2 linked regions of the Stegostoma tigrinum genome follow. The protein of the gene in region 1 interacts with the protein of each later gene in a pairwise test. Links are inferred from orthologs where the notes say so. Each region holds a gene or a part of one and is shown on either strand. Other genes may lie near its edges. The genes, in order: neuronal migration protein doublecortin-like and zinc finger and BTB domain-containing protein 5.

Region 1 (7,296 bases):
GAAAATGACTATTGAGCCAATCAAAGCTCTGTCCTCTCACCATATCCAATTTAAACTATTAATGTATAACAGTATACACAAAAATATCTGCAGATATTTTAGATACAGAAAATAGATATGGAAAAACCCCTGTACTGAGCTAATAATGTATGCTTGGATCAACAATATGTGCCACCTGATATGAAGGAGAAAATAATATTGATTGTCACTGAATCTATTAGATTTCAGGCCGAATTTACTTTAGTAACAAACATACCCAAACTATTGCTGCAGAAGTGCCAGAAAAGAAAAGGCCAGTTTAAAAGAGTTGTATCATGAAAAATTCACCAAGGTAGATGCTTTTATTTTCCATTTGGGATTTACAGCAGGACAGTTCTGGCAGTGTCACTTTGCATTATTTCTGCCACACCCTTTCAATGTAATTTGGATTATTCAGGAATTAGCAAATGCAAAATGAGGGACCAACCAAAAGATCCATTGTATCAGTGTAAATTGTAATGAAGATTATGCGCCAGGTTAAATCTTTGATTGTAGGGAGAAGGATTAAAAACTGATGTTAACATTAGAGTAAAATAATGTTTTAATTGGGTTCAGTAGAAAACAAAGGGCTAAATATATGAGTGAATTGTAACATAATCTAAATTGAAGGAGACCTCAAGATATAAAGTAGGATATAAAGATATAAAGATGGATAAAGAGCTGAGAGCTAAAGAATGAAGGCAAATTGAGTTCAGGAATAGCTCCAGTCGTAGATGAAGTAACAACAAAACATCTAAAAACCCTTGGAGGAATTAGAAGTGATAACAGAAATCAAATATGTACAAAAATATACATACTAATTGACTTGAGGCATTCATTAGTCATATTACCTAACAAACTTAAAGATTATTTAGTTATCTCATTAAAGCGACCTTAATAACTATAATAAAAAGAAATTTGAAGCAGAGGTTGCTAAAATACAGGCTGGCTTTACACTTGGTGTTGGAACTAGAAAAGGTATTTACTCTAGGAACAATCTTTGCTGGATATTAAGTAAACAAGAATAAACGTGCTTCATAACGTATGAGAAAACATCCAATGGTGATTATCACAAACAGATAATAGAAATGTTTCTGAAATGTAACAAAAACAGTAGAAAGTCTACATTGTAAGCAAATGGAGAGGCATCAGGTGGAAGAGCGACATTCAATTTGCACGCAACAAGCTTTGGGCTGTAGGCTCCCGAGGCGGAATATGAAGTGCCGCTCCTCTGATGCAGCCTGGCCTGCTGTATTCTTCCAGCTCCATACTGTGTTATGCCCTAAACAACAGTGATCATGAAACAAAAACAGAACGTGCTGGAGAAACTCAGCAAGTCTGGCAGCATTTGTGGAGAGAAAGCGGAGTTGACGTTTCCAATTCAATGGCCCTTCTTCAGTGTTAACTCTGTTTCCTCTGCACAGATGCTGCCGGACAAGTTGAGTATCTCCAGCAATTTGTTTTGATTCAGATTTCCAGCATTCGCAATTCTTTGTTTGTTTAGTGTGATAATTATTTGCTTTTAGGTGTTCAGGGAGAACTCCCCTGGTATTCTATGATGAAGTGTCATTGGATCTTTGCCATTCATCTTGGAGTGCAGGCTTGGCCCCATTTTAACAATTAATTCAAAAGAAAAATTAATTCGGTCAGAATTGCACCGAAAATTATCCGCGATTTCATGCTTCAAAATGGGGCTTGAATCCACAGCTGAGAGGCAAGACTGATACCAGTGCACTTAACAGATCGTAAAACCACTGTTTTAAAGTAGCCGTTGATTCATTTCTTTTAAATTGAGTTATTAACAATTCTGGACAGAGAATTTTTAGACACATTAAAGATTTGCTACCACGGGGAAGGTTTCTAACCTATATTCTCGTGTTTGTGTCCATTAGCTCACTCAGTTAGATGTCCCTTGAAAAGTAGTGACCATGGACATGATGATCGGAATGAGATGACCGTTTCTGCCTCCAATTAGACACATAATTTAGGAATGTCTGACGCAGATTCTAGTTCATATTCTAAGATTTCACAAAAACCATTTCCAGATGATTCAGCACACTTTCTACAAGAGACCCCAGTCTTGCATCAACTCCACTCAATGTATTCTCTCTAGGCTCCTTTGCAGTGACTCCGAGGTGCTCCATCTAAATTTGCTAGCTTCTTGATTGATTGGGACTTTCTGCAGTGTAAGGGGCTCTTGTTGAGATGACACAGCCGTAGGCTGACCTTGCTCGGTGATCTTGGGGCCGGTGGGGGCAACGTCAGGCCCACCAACAGAGGTCACGTCTCTCTCTCATTCCTCGTTGAGCTTGAGATGAAGCTGCCTTTTTCTTCCGTTCCATGTGTTCACGGGCCTGAATGCTGAAGCATAGCAACAATACATCGTGACGGGGAGGGTCTGCTACAATTCAGGTAGAAGTTGAACAGGATGGTCCCGCTCACGTTAGAAGCATTTTGGCAATGAACAGATGCAACTTCAATAGATTGAGATTTACTAACAATAAAGCAGTGATTTAAAATCCATACCTACTCTCTGAGGGTCTTAAATTCTATGACCGGAGACGTGGTTTGCATTATTATATAAAATTACCTTGAAGAAATCCATAAAGTGTAAATGTTGGCATGCAGGTATTAATATTAAAGTTAAACACGAGAGAACAGCATATGTTCTGTCTGATGAAGGGTCTAGGCCCGAAACGTCAGATTTTGTGCTCCTGAGATGCTGTTCGGCCTGCTGTGCTCATCCAGCCTCACACTTTGTTATCTAGAACAGCATATGTTGTTTTAATGAAAATGCAATGATATAAGAGGCTGGAAGCAACGATTAAACACGCTGCCATAGAGGCGTACATTATATAAAAATTGCACGTCAAAAGATTGGTTGATATTGGGTCATAATCTCATTGTTCAGTAAACGCACAGCATAATGACGCTCACAACTTCATCAGGCAGTAACATTTTTGTAAAATATGTGTCAGTCGCAGTGAGAATGAAATGAGAGAGCAAGCCCTTTTAGTGCCTTTTGATTGAAGCCAAAAAGAGAAATAAAATTTCCACTCCTTTTGCTGCAGTCAGATGTTTTTGTGAGATATTCAAAGAGCCTCTTTCCCTGAGTAAACCCGACAATGCTTTATTTTGTTAATTGTCATATCGTTAACAGTTTTATTTAATAAAAAGAAGCAGGATCTGACACGTGGTGGTTTAGACAGTGACCAGCCCACCTGCATTTCCAATGTCTCCTTAATCACTGCGCCGCAGAGATCTAAATGTCTGCTCCCCAGCCTGTCCCCTTCTCTATTGACTACAACACTCCTCCAGGGTCCCACCTCCCACCTCACATACTACCGAGCTAGGTGTTAGGCAAACGCCAGGTTGTTTGTATCAAATCGGGAATCGCTTGGGGGCGGTGATTCAGTGTAAATCAGTCTCCTGTCAGTTTTCCTGTTCTCCGTACTGCGGATTTAATTAAAGGCGAGTGTGAATGTTTAAACGCTCATGACTGGAGAACGTGTCTCAATCCGTGAGACAGAGCCTCCTTCATACAAAGTGGTTGGGATTGACACTCTCTCTCCCAAAATCTCTCTTCACCTCCCCTCCCCCACCCAATTCCTCTCCCAAACTCCGTCTTCCTCCCCCATAACTCTCACTGCCTCCCCCAAACTCTGTTCTCGCTCACAACTCTCTGTCCTTCTCCCAATCGTTCTCTCTTTTACCAGTCCCTTCCCCCACAACTTTCCCTACCCCTCCCCCGAACACTACCACCCGCTGGCGGGGAGGGGGCAGAGGGAATGCAAGACTTCAATGAACCTCCTTCGATGCCATTGGATACATATTTTGTAAATATGATGGAGACATGCCTCACATGTGATAGGCAAATGGAGCTATTTGGGATGAAGTTATACTGTCACAGCTCAGGTTTCGTTACCCTGAGCATGAAATATTGGAGTGTTTGTGTGTGTGTTTTCGGGGTAGCTGACCACAGCCTATTCAAAGAATCCAAAGAAACTGACTACATTTTTTATTCTGCTCGCCTCTGTACTTATAAGTTATATTATATGAATTGCTTTGTTATATTCTGAGGTGTGAGAAGGCCTTTCTTTCTGCAGTAGCAGAATGTAGAATTCTAAGGCAACAGAAATATTCTGCAAACAACAGAAACATTGTTCTGATTTGAAGGAATCATTCCCCATACGTCTCGTTTTCTTCGATATTGCTTTACAACATGCGACCATAAAACAATTAGCCCAATGTGCTGACTGATAGAATTGAGGTCCATTTTGGGTACCGCTGCAGTACAGGTATATATATAATGTATGTTGTGTTTTCGTCTCTCATTCATTCGACCCCTGCGAGGCGCTAGAACGGGAAACGTGGGACTCGCTTGCAACAGTTTTAGTGGAAGACGGCTTCAACTCGCAATAGGACCCAGAGAAGCCACGATTTCTCCCGTTGTGGGTCTGGCCAGCCAGAGCGCAGACAACAAAAGCAGGCTTGGATTGTCTTTTTCTTTCTGCATCCACACCCTGTCCACACTGCACACAATTTGGTGAGTTGCTCCTTTGCTGTAAGTAAAAGACAGAGACAAAAAGAAGCAATCTCTATCTATCTCTGTATAGACATACGTGCACTATTGCTGTAGCACTTTGATCGAGTTCGGGTTTGGCATTCTGCAGTAAGATATTTTAGTCGATGTTCATTGAAAAGTGATTTATTTTAGTGTCTCTGCAGTTGATACATGGAGACGATAAGATTTCTCAAATTTTATTCTACAGCTCGAGTTCATTGCTAGATACCTGATGTTTCCTCACCTTTTTAACGAGTCGTTCCATAGTATTTTTTCAGGATTACCGCCTGAGAGTTAACATTTCCCATTCAATCTATTGTTAAATACATATTGCAGATAAGTGTTAATAGACAATAGTGTCTTCCCTTCAAGCAGATCGCTTCACCTTACAAATTTTTTCCATTGATCATGGGATTTTATATAAACGAATTGACAATCCCGTTTGTCAGCAAGCGTTATGTATATTTTCTTAAATTATACGATGTTCAATAAATCGCAATACTGAGTTCTCTTTGTTAAGATGTTCTTGACAGTAACTGATGAGACGGCTTTTAATGATTCATTTATCGCGCCTTTGTTAACAAGTGTTTAGTATGAGCCTTCCGTGTTGTGTATTCAGTTGCCCTTTCTTTACATAGCCGTTTATGAATAATACATTTTATGTGAAAACCGTTATATCAGATACATTGCACAGAGCGAGGAGAAGCCACTCCCCAGAAATTGTTACCTTAAGGCATGGGGTCAGGAGAAAATGTTCCTTGTGTTTCTGATTTCCAGCTGTAACTGGGATTATATATACAAAACGATGACTTTCGTGATTTTATTTTCTCAGATTTGTGTTTTAGTTTCGGTCACCTTTGAGGATCACATCATTCTGCAGGGCTGCAGTGAAAATTAACATTTTGATTTTTCACTTCAATAGAGGGTGTCGCTTTGGGACGCTGTGCTCCCTCCCTCAGGCAGGGTCACTCACAACACTCCCGGATTTAGATCAGCACAGGTCAGCATTTCTGCACTGCCCACCAATTCTCGTCTATAATCCACTTGAGGGAAACAAACAAAAAAACCCCTCTGCTGCACCAGCCTGTCAAGTCCAGATCCCACAACAGCTCATCGCAAGGTGAACCCAGCATCACCACTTTAAATGTCCATGATGTCAATGATCCTGGATCTGGGTAGGAATCACGTAACACGTTTCACTCCAAAACCTGCTCATATGTTACAGAGAAAGATGTTCCATCTATGAGTGTGAGTTGATCATGAAACCATACCCACAACATGGAATTAAAGCATGCCTTTAGAGGGAGATGTAGTTGTTCTGACCATAATTTAAGAGGGTTAGTCCTGTCATCATTCACTGTGAGCTTCATTAATAATGCATAGAAGCAAGGGTGCTGCTTGATTATGATTATACACAGGTCATTAAAGACTCAAGTTTTAATCCACTGGAAGCTTAACCAAGAGAAAGCCAAGTAAACTGCAGAGATCCATATTCAATCTTTGTGCCTTCTTCAATCTCAGCACAACAGCAACAATCCTTGATGTCCCCAACCTTGGGAGGAGAAATATTAACCAGGATTTCCATTCTGACATCACTTGCAAAGTGTGTGTTGGGTGAAGGGAGGCACAGTCGCATTTATTACGCCCCATTGATTTACTAATGTGTAGACATGGGTGAAGGTTGGTCACTCATATGAGGTGTGAGGGAAATTTGTGTTTCAATCTAGCCTTTGGGACAGGGGAAATCATTGATGGAAATTTGACATGACATCAACACTTATTAAATTCTGATATCTAGTCCCAATAACTGTCTGGGAATTCAGTACTATAGATGTGGTTCTGCTAAATTTAAGTTGATGAAAAGAGTATCAGTGCATTTGGTAGATGGATGAGTTTAGAAGAGGCCTGGGCTATCGTCATCATAATGGTATTGCACTAAAATGACATATCTTGCAGGTAAATCAAGTGCATTAGCTTTCCAAATATTGGCTTGATCTACCAGTGCACTAAATTTAATTTTCAGTACCAATTTGGCTCATGTTCCTATTTCTCTGTTACGAGTCGGTGTCTCGAGACCTAAGTGGGTTAGTTAGGATAATACTTCAAATCATTGCTGAGCAAGATCTATATTGTTTGAATTTTACATGATATGCCAAAGTAAGGCTCTGTCAGTCTTTTCAGGTGGATGTAAAGTAAAGAAGCTTTCCTGGTGACCTGGTTAATGCTAATCTCACAACCACCATTACTACATGCAGAATAATAGTCTTTCGTATCAACAACTGTTTTTGGGGCCATTAAAATTGGTGTCATGTTTGCATTCATAACAACAGTGACTGAACTTCAAAAATAATTCATTGTATTATGTATTGAAACGTACATTATGTTTATATAATAAATGACAGTCTGTTCATTAATGTCCTGTCCCAATTTCATGAAACGGCATTCACATGAGAACAAATTAATTTTGGAAGGATTATGGCAGAATGCAGCATAGAGGTAAATGTTGGGAGTTGTGAATATGTATCCTGGGTTAAATGAAAACTGATTTCTACACTTTTAATTAATTGATAAGTGTATTTAAATAATTCTATTTACTGCTTTTTACCTAGTAATTTCAGTAGTGTGAGCACATTAGAGATATAAAGGGGAATGTTTGGAAGTTTCATGCTCAATAATATTAATGGGAAAGCAGTTGGTGTTCATGTGGTCTGTTT
Region 2 (7,123 bases), on another chromosome or scaffold:
AAGTGAACTCTACCTGCTATACAAGTACCGTGGCTACAAAACCAGGTCAAAGGATAGTAATTGATCTCATAACTCTCCAATGTTTGGGTGAAATGGTGACATCACAGAATTGTTCTGGTGCAGAACGATGCCCATTGTGCCTGGACTAGTTTGTTAAATGAGCACGGTTATTGTCCTCGATCACAAACTGCATCCAAATGTTCCTTCCGATTCAGTTAATTGTAGTTAAGAGAAGATTCAACAGCATTAATTTACTTAAATATGAGCATTATTAAGTAAATAATAAGACGAAAAAGAAAGGAAAATAAACAATAAGTTTGATGCCCTTCTGCCCACTGAGGACTCCTCAATCGATGGCTGGTCTGGAGACTTATGTTCACTCCTGGCACTGTTCACAATCCCGACCTGAGGGGCAGTCCAACGATTTGGAATGAAACTGTCTCTCTTATACAGTGTAACAAACAGCCAGTACAGAAAAATAAGTTGATTGTGCTGTCTTTGCACGTACAGGAATGTCAATCACCCTCACAGGACTTATTCAAGGTCATGCTGCTGTCGAATATCATCATCAATTTTAACTTATCCTATACAGTCCAAGCCTGATGATATTTGACAGCGTATGTTACAATTACAAATACAGATGCAAATCAGTGATAGCCACACAAAAACGTATAATAGTACGTCTCTTTAACCATTTGCAATATATTTGTATTGTTCTGTACCAATGCAGTAACTAAGTTCTATTCATTAACTGTTTTGTTGTATTATATATCTTACAAGCCATTACCATTTGCCAGTTTGCAGTTGTACTGTGTGTCCTTTAGATATGGTAAACATATCATGTCCCTGTGCTAACCATTACCCACAAGGCATACATCTAGTGGTATAGTGTGCAAAGACACATTTGTTTCCTGGTTGACATGCAAAGTCGCCCTGCACCCTTTCAGTTTCTTTGTGCTGTCCATGTCATGTTCACACTCCAGATATGTAAATTAGTTGCCCACGTCATCTGATGAATCATCCACAGCAGCGTCCATCCATAAAAAGTCCACATGGTTCTGTGAAGAAATCATACCTTATCAGTTTACAATCTTTGACAATGCACTTCCTTTTCGTTAATTTCCCTCTGTCTATACATTCTGGAGCTTCCTGTCCCTTTATCAATAGCAAATATGTATCAGCTTGTCCATGGGTAAGTATTTCATCAGGCTTAGACAGGCATTGTGGTTTCCCCTATACAAAGGTCATTGGGCTTTGTAGGTTTACTAGTAGGATGTAACTAGGAAGGCCACCTCCCTTAAACATTCTACTCATGGGTGACCCTCCTTTCAGAGGCTGATTATGCAGCTTGGGCAATGCCTGCGGCCACACTTTGAGCCACCCCTATAATGTATGATTAGGTGTCCATAATTTATTTTGTTGTTTTCATAACTCATTCATTCGTTCTACAAGGCTGCTTGAGGGTAATAGGGAATGTGAAACATCCCAGTGTCTGCAGTCCATTGCGACACCTGTTGACCATTATCAGATGGTATTTCTGATGGTTCACCATAGTAGGATATTAAATGCTCTAGGTCCTTAACAGTATCACTGATTCGCTTTGGTCGTCAGGAAAGCTCACATTAGCCCAGAGTAAATGCCCACCATGGTTAACGGATATTGATGTTGTTGTTGTAACTGTAATGGGCCAACATTGTCAATCTGCTAGATTTGAGCAGGCTGATCTCATTTGATTTGTGCCAATGGCTTTATCGGCAGTGGTATGTGCTTTACTTTTGACAAATTTCACACTTGCCAATTACTTCTCTCACCAGATGAGCAGATAAGTGCAAACCTTTATCTCTTGCCCAATGCACAGTGCTGTGATACCCTGAATATCTTGATTTTTCATGAGCCCATTTTTCAGTGTGATACTATTCGGATACATCTTCTGTTCATCATCAACTACATCAACTGTTCTGGCTTTTACTATTCCATCTACAGTTTTGTTGAGATCAGCAGATCCTTCATATGGGATCAACATGGTGTTGGACCTTTGCCCATATTTGTTCCATAGTTCTGTTCCCCACGGGGGCTTTCCAGCAATCTTCCAGTCTCATGACTGCCAGGTTGGCATCCGTACAGCCATTTCATTGGCCACTGCCACGAGTCAGTATAGATGTGCAGATACTGGCTCTCTTCTTCTAGTGCTAGGACCACAGCTGCTAATTTGGCATACTGGCTCATTGCCCCATTTCCATCAGTATGGATAATCATCTGCGCAAAAGGATTAAATGCACCTGCTCGCCACCACCTTTGGCCAATCTTCCAGGTGGCCGATCCATCAGTGAAACAAGCAGAGTGAGCAGTATCTTTGGGCAGTTGTTCAAATGGAATGCCCAATTGAACAGGAGGTGCGTATGGCCAGGTTGGAATTTGTTCACCTGATAGGTATTCAGCTATTTGTTCATGGAGCTTGGCAATCCCTTCCTTTTCCTTCTTGGTTCAAGCAGCTGTGTATCATTTGCATTTTACAATGGGGCTTTGTTGGGCTCTACTGACCTTATGTTTTGCAATATTGGACAAAACCCACATTAGAATTGGTAATTCAGGTCTGAGGAGCACATTGTCCTCGCCCGCCTGCTCTTCAATCTCTACTAAGGCCCAGTAGCAGGCCAGAGGTTGCTTTCCAAATGGTATGAAATGTAGAGCTGCCTCAGTCAGTTTTCTGGACCAGAAACCCAAAGGTATTGCTTTCCTATTCTGTGTCTGTCATAAGCTCCATGTGGCTACATCTTGTATTACTGATAGTTGTAATTTAAAGGAAAGCCAGGTATCCAAGGTGCCCGAGGAACTGCTAGTGCTATCGTCTCTTTAGCAGCCTTAAATGCTTTCTGCTGTTCATCACCCCATTCAAACACAGTCAAGTGAGGTATATGACTGCACCAATATCCAAGCATATATGTAAATTCCTGTGCCTCAGTTTTGCTCATTGGAACAGCAATTTCCTGTATTTTATTCTTTACTTTTTCAGGGATGACTCTATTCCCTCTTGTACATCAAATGCCTAAAAACTGCACTGATTCCACTGGCCCCTGTATCATCTTTAGGTTCACTTGGTAGCCAGTAGAAGGTATGTTAGTGGCCTTCCCACGTAAAAGCAAACTGAGGTTGTGATACCGGGGCTATTTACTTTTGCCATCCTTGCAAATTGCTCTTATACTGGCATGGGAAATAAGGATTTAGGACATGAAGCCTCTGAGGCACAAGACACACATACAAAAGTGTTTTTCCTCTAAATTACCAGTCCTTGGAAATTAAGAGCGATTTATTTTGTTCTTTCTTGGAGTGTGAACACCACTTGTAAAGCCAATGGGTACTGTTCCAATTCTGAGCACGGTAGGAAGAATTTGCGAGCTTTCGTAAATGTACAGAAAAGGTATGAGAATGACTTCAGAAATTAGGAATTTTCGCTTCATGGATAAACTGGGAAAACAGGAGTGTTCTCCTTTGAGATGGTCGAGGTGAGATTTGATAATTTAAAATCATGAGGAGAATGGACAGAATAGAGAGAATCTACCTACTACCTTAAGTGATTGACAAATAAAAATAGAGAAAAAAGGTCATCTTAAGCAGCGAGTAGTACGGCTCTGGAATGCAGCTCATGAGAATGTGGTGAGAACAGATTCATCTAAGGCTTACCAAAGAGCAACTGAATAAGCACATGAAGAAAAATAAACTGCCGGAGATGTTGGGGTAAAAGTCGACGTGGAACAATAGCTTAGTTGTTCTTGCAGAGAGCTAGCACTGATGCCAAAGGCCAAGTAGCATTCTTTTGTACTACTACCTTTCTTTGTGAAGCACTTGGGATCCCTTCTGCGGTCGTGAGGTAAATAGAAGCAAAGTTTTTTTCTTGAAATTAAACTTATTTACTCAACAGAAAAACAAAGACAACTGCATTGCACTTAAGATCTGATTCTTTACAGGTACACAGATGTCAATTAAGTGTGTGTTGCATTGATTGCCTTTGCTAACCGTGCGAAGTAACGACACAAACAGAAATAGGAACGAGGATACCAGGCTCTAGATGTCAATCCAAAAGTAAACGGCTTCCGCTTCCGGGTGAAAGGTGGCAGTTTGTCAGAGGCCGATGGGGAGGAGGAGGTGGTGCTCGTTGCCGGTCTCAGTCACAGCTGAACAAAAGCTGGCGCTTGGCCCAGTGTCGAGCAGTTTACCGACTCCGGGCCAGGTTTCCGGTCGGTTTCCGTTTGTCGCCCGGGAGCGGCGGCGGCGGCGGCGGCACGAGGCTCACACGCGCCCGTTGTTTTGTCCGCGAGCGCGGGAGGAAGCGGCGCGTGCCTCTGGTAAGGGAAAGCGCGAGCGGTGTGGGCCAGGCGCATGCGCTTAATGGGGTGAGCGCACAATAAGGGGGCTGCGAGCTCCGGGAGGTTGCACGTGATTCTTCCCCCCCCCCCCCCCCCCGGCAAATCCCGGACATCTCTCTGCAACTCCCTGTCTCTGCACCCCAAATCTCCCTCCATCACTTCCTACGTCCATACCCGTCTTTGTAGGGCCCCTTCCTCTCTCGTGTCTCCAAAACCCATATTCTTCAGTTCCAAGGTCCTCCCTCTTCCCCCCCCCCCCCCCACCCTCGCATCAACCCTTCTTCTCTAGGGTCCCCATCCTCCTTTATTCACCTTTCACCTCTCGGGTCTGCATTCTACGCTTCACTTACAGAGATCCCCCCTTACTCTTGAGGGTCTCCATTACCCTTGTATTGCTCCTTCTTTAGGGTCCCCGTACCTTGTAATAATCCTCCCCCTCCCCTTCACTTGCAGAGATTCCATTCCCCTTGCATCCCATCTTCAACCCGAGGGTCCTCATCCCAAGCTCCACCCCTTGTCTCCAGGGTCCCCCCCTGCCTGAACACATCTGCCTGACCCCCCCCCAACTTCAGTGCACGCGCCCCCATCCGCATCCCCTCAGTGCACGTTCGCCTGCCCCATTCTCCCCGGTCCACATCTTTCCCCCCCCACTTCCTCCTCCTTCCCCAGTCCACACTTACCCTCATATCCACAACCTGTCCTCTTCCTCCATCCATCAGGTAGAAGATACAAAAGCTTAAATATATGTGCCAGCAGATTCAAGAACAGTTTCTTCCTGTTATTAGAATTCTGAATTGACTTCTCAAATTTTCAGTTTAAATGTTGGTCTCACTCTTTGTGCACCTTCTCTGCAGCTGTAACATTGTATTCCTCGCTCCGTTCCATTACCGTAATGCACTTTGTATATGATCTGCCTATATTGCAGGCAAAACAAATCTTTTCACTGTAGCTAGGCATCCGAGAATAAATCAAATAAGAAGAAATCACCCCCCCCCCCACCTTCTCTTCAACCGGTTTCCTGTAATCCAGTTGGGCAATTCCTGCAGACCCTGCTACATCCCAAAGAGACATCTTGCATTCAGCTTCCTGAGTGACCACATCTGGCCTTTAGCCCTTTTCTGATTTGTTCACTTGACAGTTGTCAAGTGTGCGTTTAGTTACATCACCTTACTCTTACCTCTTTAGTTGTCCTAAAACGCACTTCACTGTTCTAGTATTTCTTTCAGTACATTGGCGTCAAAATTTTTTTGTTTGAGTGCTTTTGTAAATCACTTGGAATGTTTCAAGGTGCTATAGAAATGCGAATCATTTCTGTCCTTCTCATCTGCCCCCCAGTCCGACCCCCCCCCCATACACACACACAGCATCCATTGTATAAACTCCCTAAGCTATCTTCCAAAGTCTGGCCAGGATATCCCTGTGCATCAGGAGCATCCTCATTGAGGCAGCAGACCAGGCATCTCCCAAGTGACTACTCTTCTCCACATCACCGGGCAATCATGTCCATCTTTTCTCCGTGGTTCATGCTATTGCTGTCTGATTGGAGGACTTGAATTTAGGTCTCTAGAACTTGTTTGTAATCATAGCTCAAGTGCTGAGCCACTCTGTTAGACTAGGACGATCAGCCTCATCTGCCAGACATCCGCGCACCGATGTAAGCATCAACACGAGGTGGTTTTCTTTGTGATTTCAGTACGTTGTGTCCAGCTGGGACCTCGCTGGCATTGAGAGTCTCCGCCCCCGCCCCCGCTGATTTGGAGCTGTCATTGCAGGCTCTGAGTCCACATACCACGAATCCATGCAGAAATAGAGTATTAATGCAATGTTATTAGGCAAATAAACTGGATGCGGTCCATCCGCTTCAACGGTGCATTGCAAACTGAACCGACAATGACAAAGCATTGGGCAGTCATCAGAACCCGTGTCCACTAGATATTGGAGTGGTAGCAGCTCCAAGGCTCTTTGTATCGCAGTTCCTGCAGACAGCTAGAGCCAATGCTGGGCAGGCGCGGGTTGGAGACTTTACTGAGTGTGTGTGTTTTGTGAGAGAGAGAGAGAGGGAGAAAGGAGGGGGCTGGTGGGAGGAGATCAGGTCAGTGCACCGACAGGCTGGTGGGAAAAGGCGTTCGGCATCCTGTGCCTAAACTGCCAAGGAAGCGGGGGTGGGGAAGAGAGGAAGGAAGGAGGCAGCAGGCTACGTGTGTGAGCGAGTGCATTGGCCGATGGTGCTAATCTTTCATGCACCCGGTTCGCAAATGTAGATTCAGTTGCCTTTGCTGTCTTTGCATGGACTGCACGTAGGATTTCTCAGTGGACTGCCAGTGTTATTGCAATGTCGCACAGAATGGTAATGAACGAAGACTGACCCGCATCTTGTTCATGGGGAAATAAATATCCTCCTAGTTGGGACGCGATCCGTTTTCCGAACAGATTGTTTTCGCTGGTCCAGGCTATGCCACATACCTGAGTTAATTTGATCCACGAGCGAGCGGTAGCAAGGACTGGTAGCCCGGGGGTTCACGTCCTAATGTAAGTTAGTATAGTTTGAAGCTCAATAAGGTAAGAATGGGATTCTGAATCTTGCCTGAGAGCACTGCCTTGATTCTTCACCCACCCTGCCCCGTATCCGTCTACCAGAGTTGAATTTTATGCAATCGTTTTAATTTCTTTGCAAAATTTTTTTGACATTGGTGGACTGATGTAATTACAGTGAGTTAATAAGTATTGCACTGGATGTCTTGATTAATGTTTAAATGTGT

What was found.
Region 2: the proteins of neuronal migration protein doublecortin-like (region 1) and zinc finger and BTB domain-containing protein 5 interact in binary tests that used the Homo sapiens proteins (3 or more experiments, as listed by UniProt). The two-hybrid records come from large-scale screens. The link is inferred for Stegostoma tigrinum from reciprocal best matches to the Homo sapiens genes DCX and ZBTB5.

The regions. Positions count from the first base shown.
Region 1 is NC_081368.1:24,971,911-24,979,206, reverse strand, and holds the start of neuronal migration protein doublecortin-like, read left to right. Parts: upstream 1-4,226; 5' UTR 4,227-4,564; exon of another isoform or gene 4,565-4,582; intron 4,583-7,296. UniProt on the Homo sapiens protein: Microtubule-associated protein required for initial steps of neuronal dispersion and cortex lamination during cerebral cortex development. May act by competing with the putative neuronal protein kinase DCLK1 in binding to a target protein.
Region 2 is NC_081356.1:12,640,898-12,648,020, reverse strand, and holds the start of zinc finger and BTB domain-containing protein 5, read left to right. Parts: upstream 1-4,097; 5' UTR 4,098-4,343; intron 4,344-7,123. UniProt on the Homo sapiens protein: May be involved in transcriptional regulation.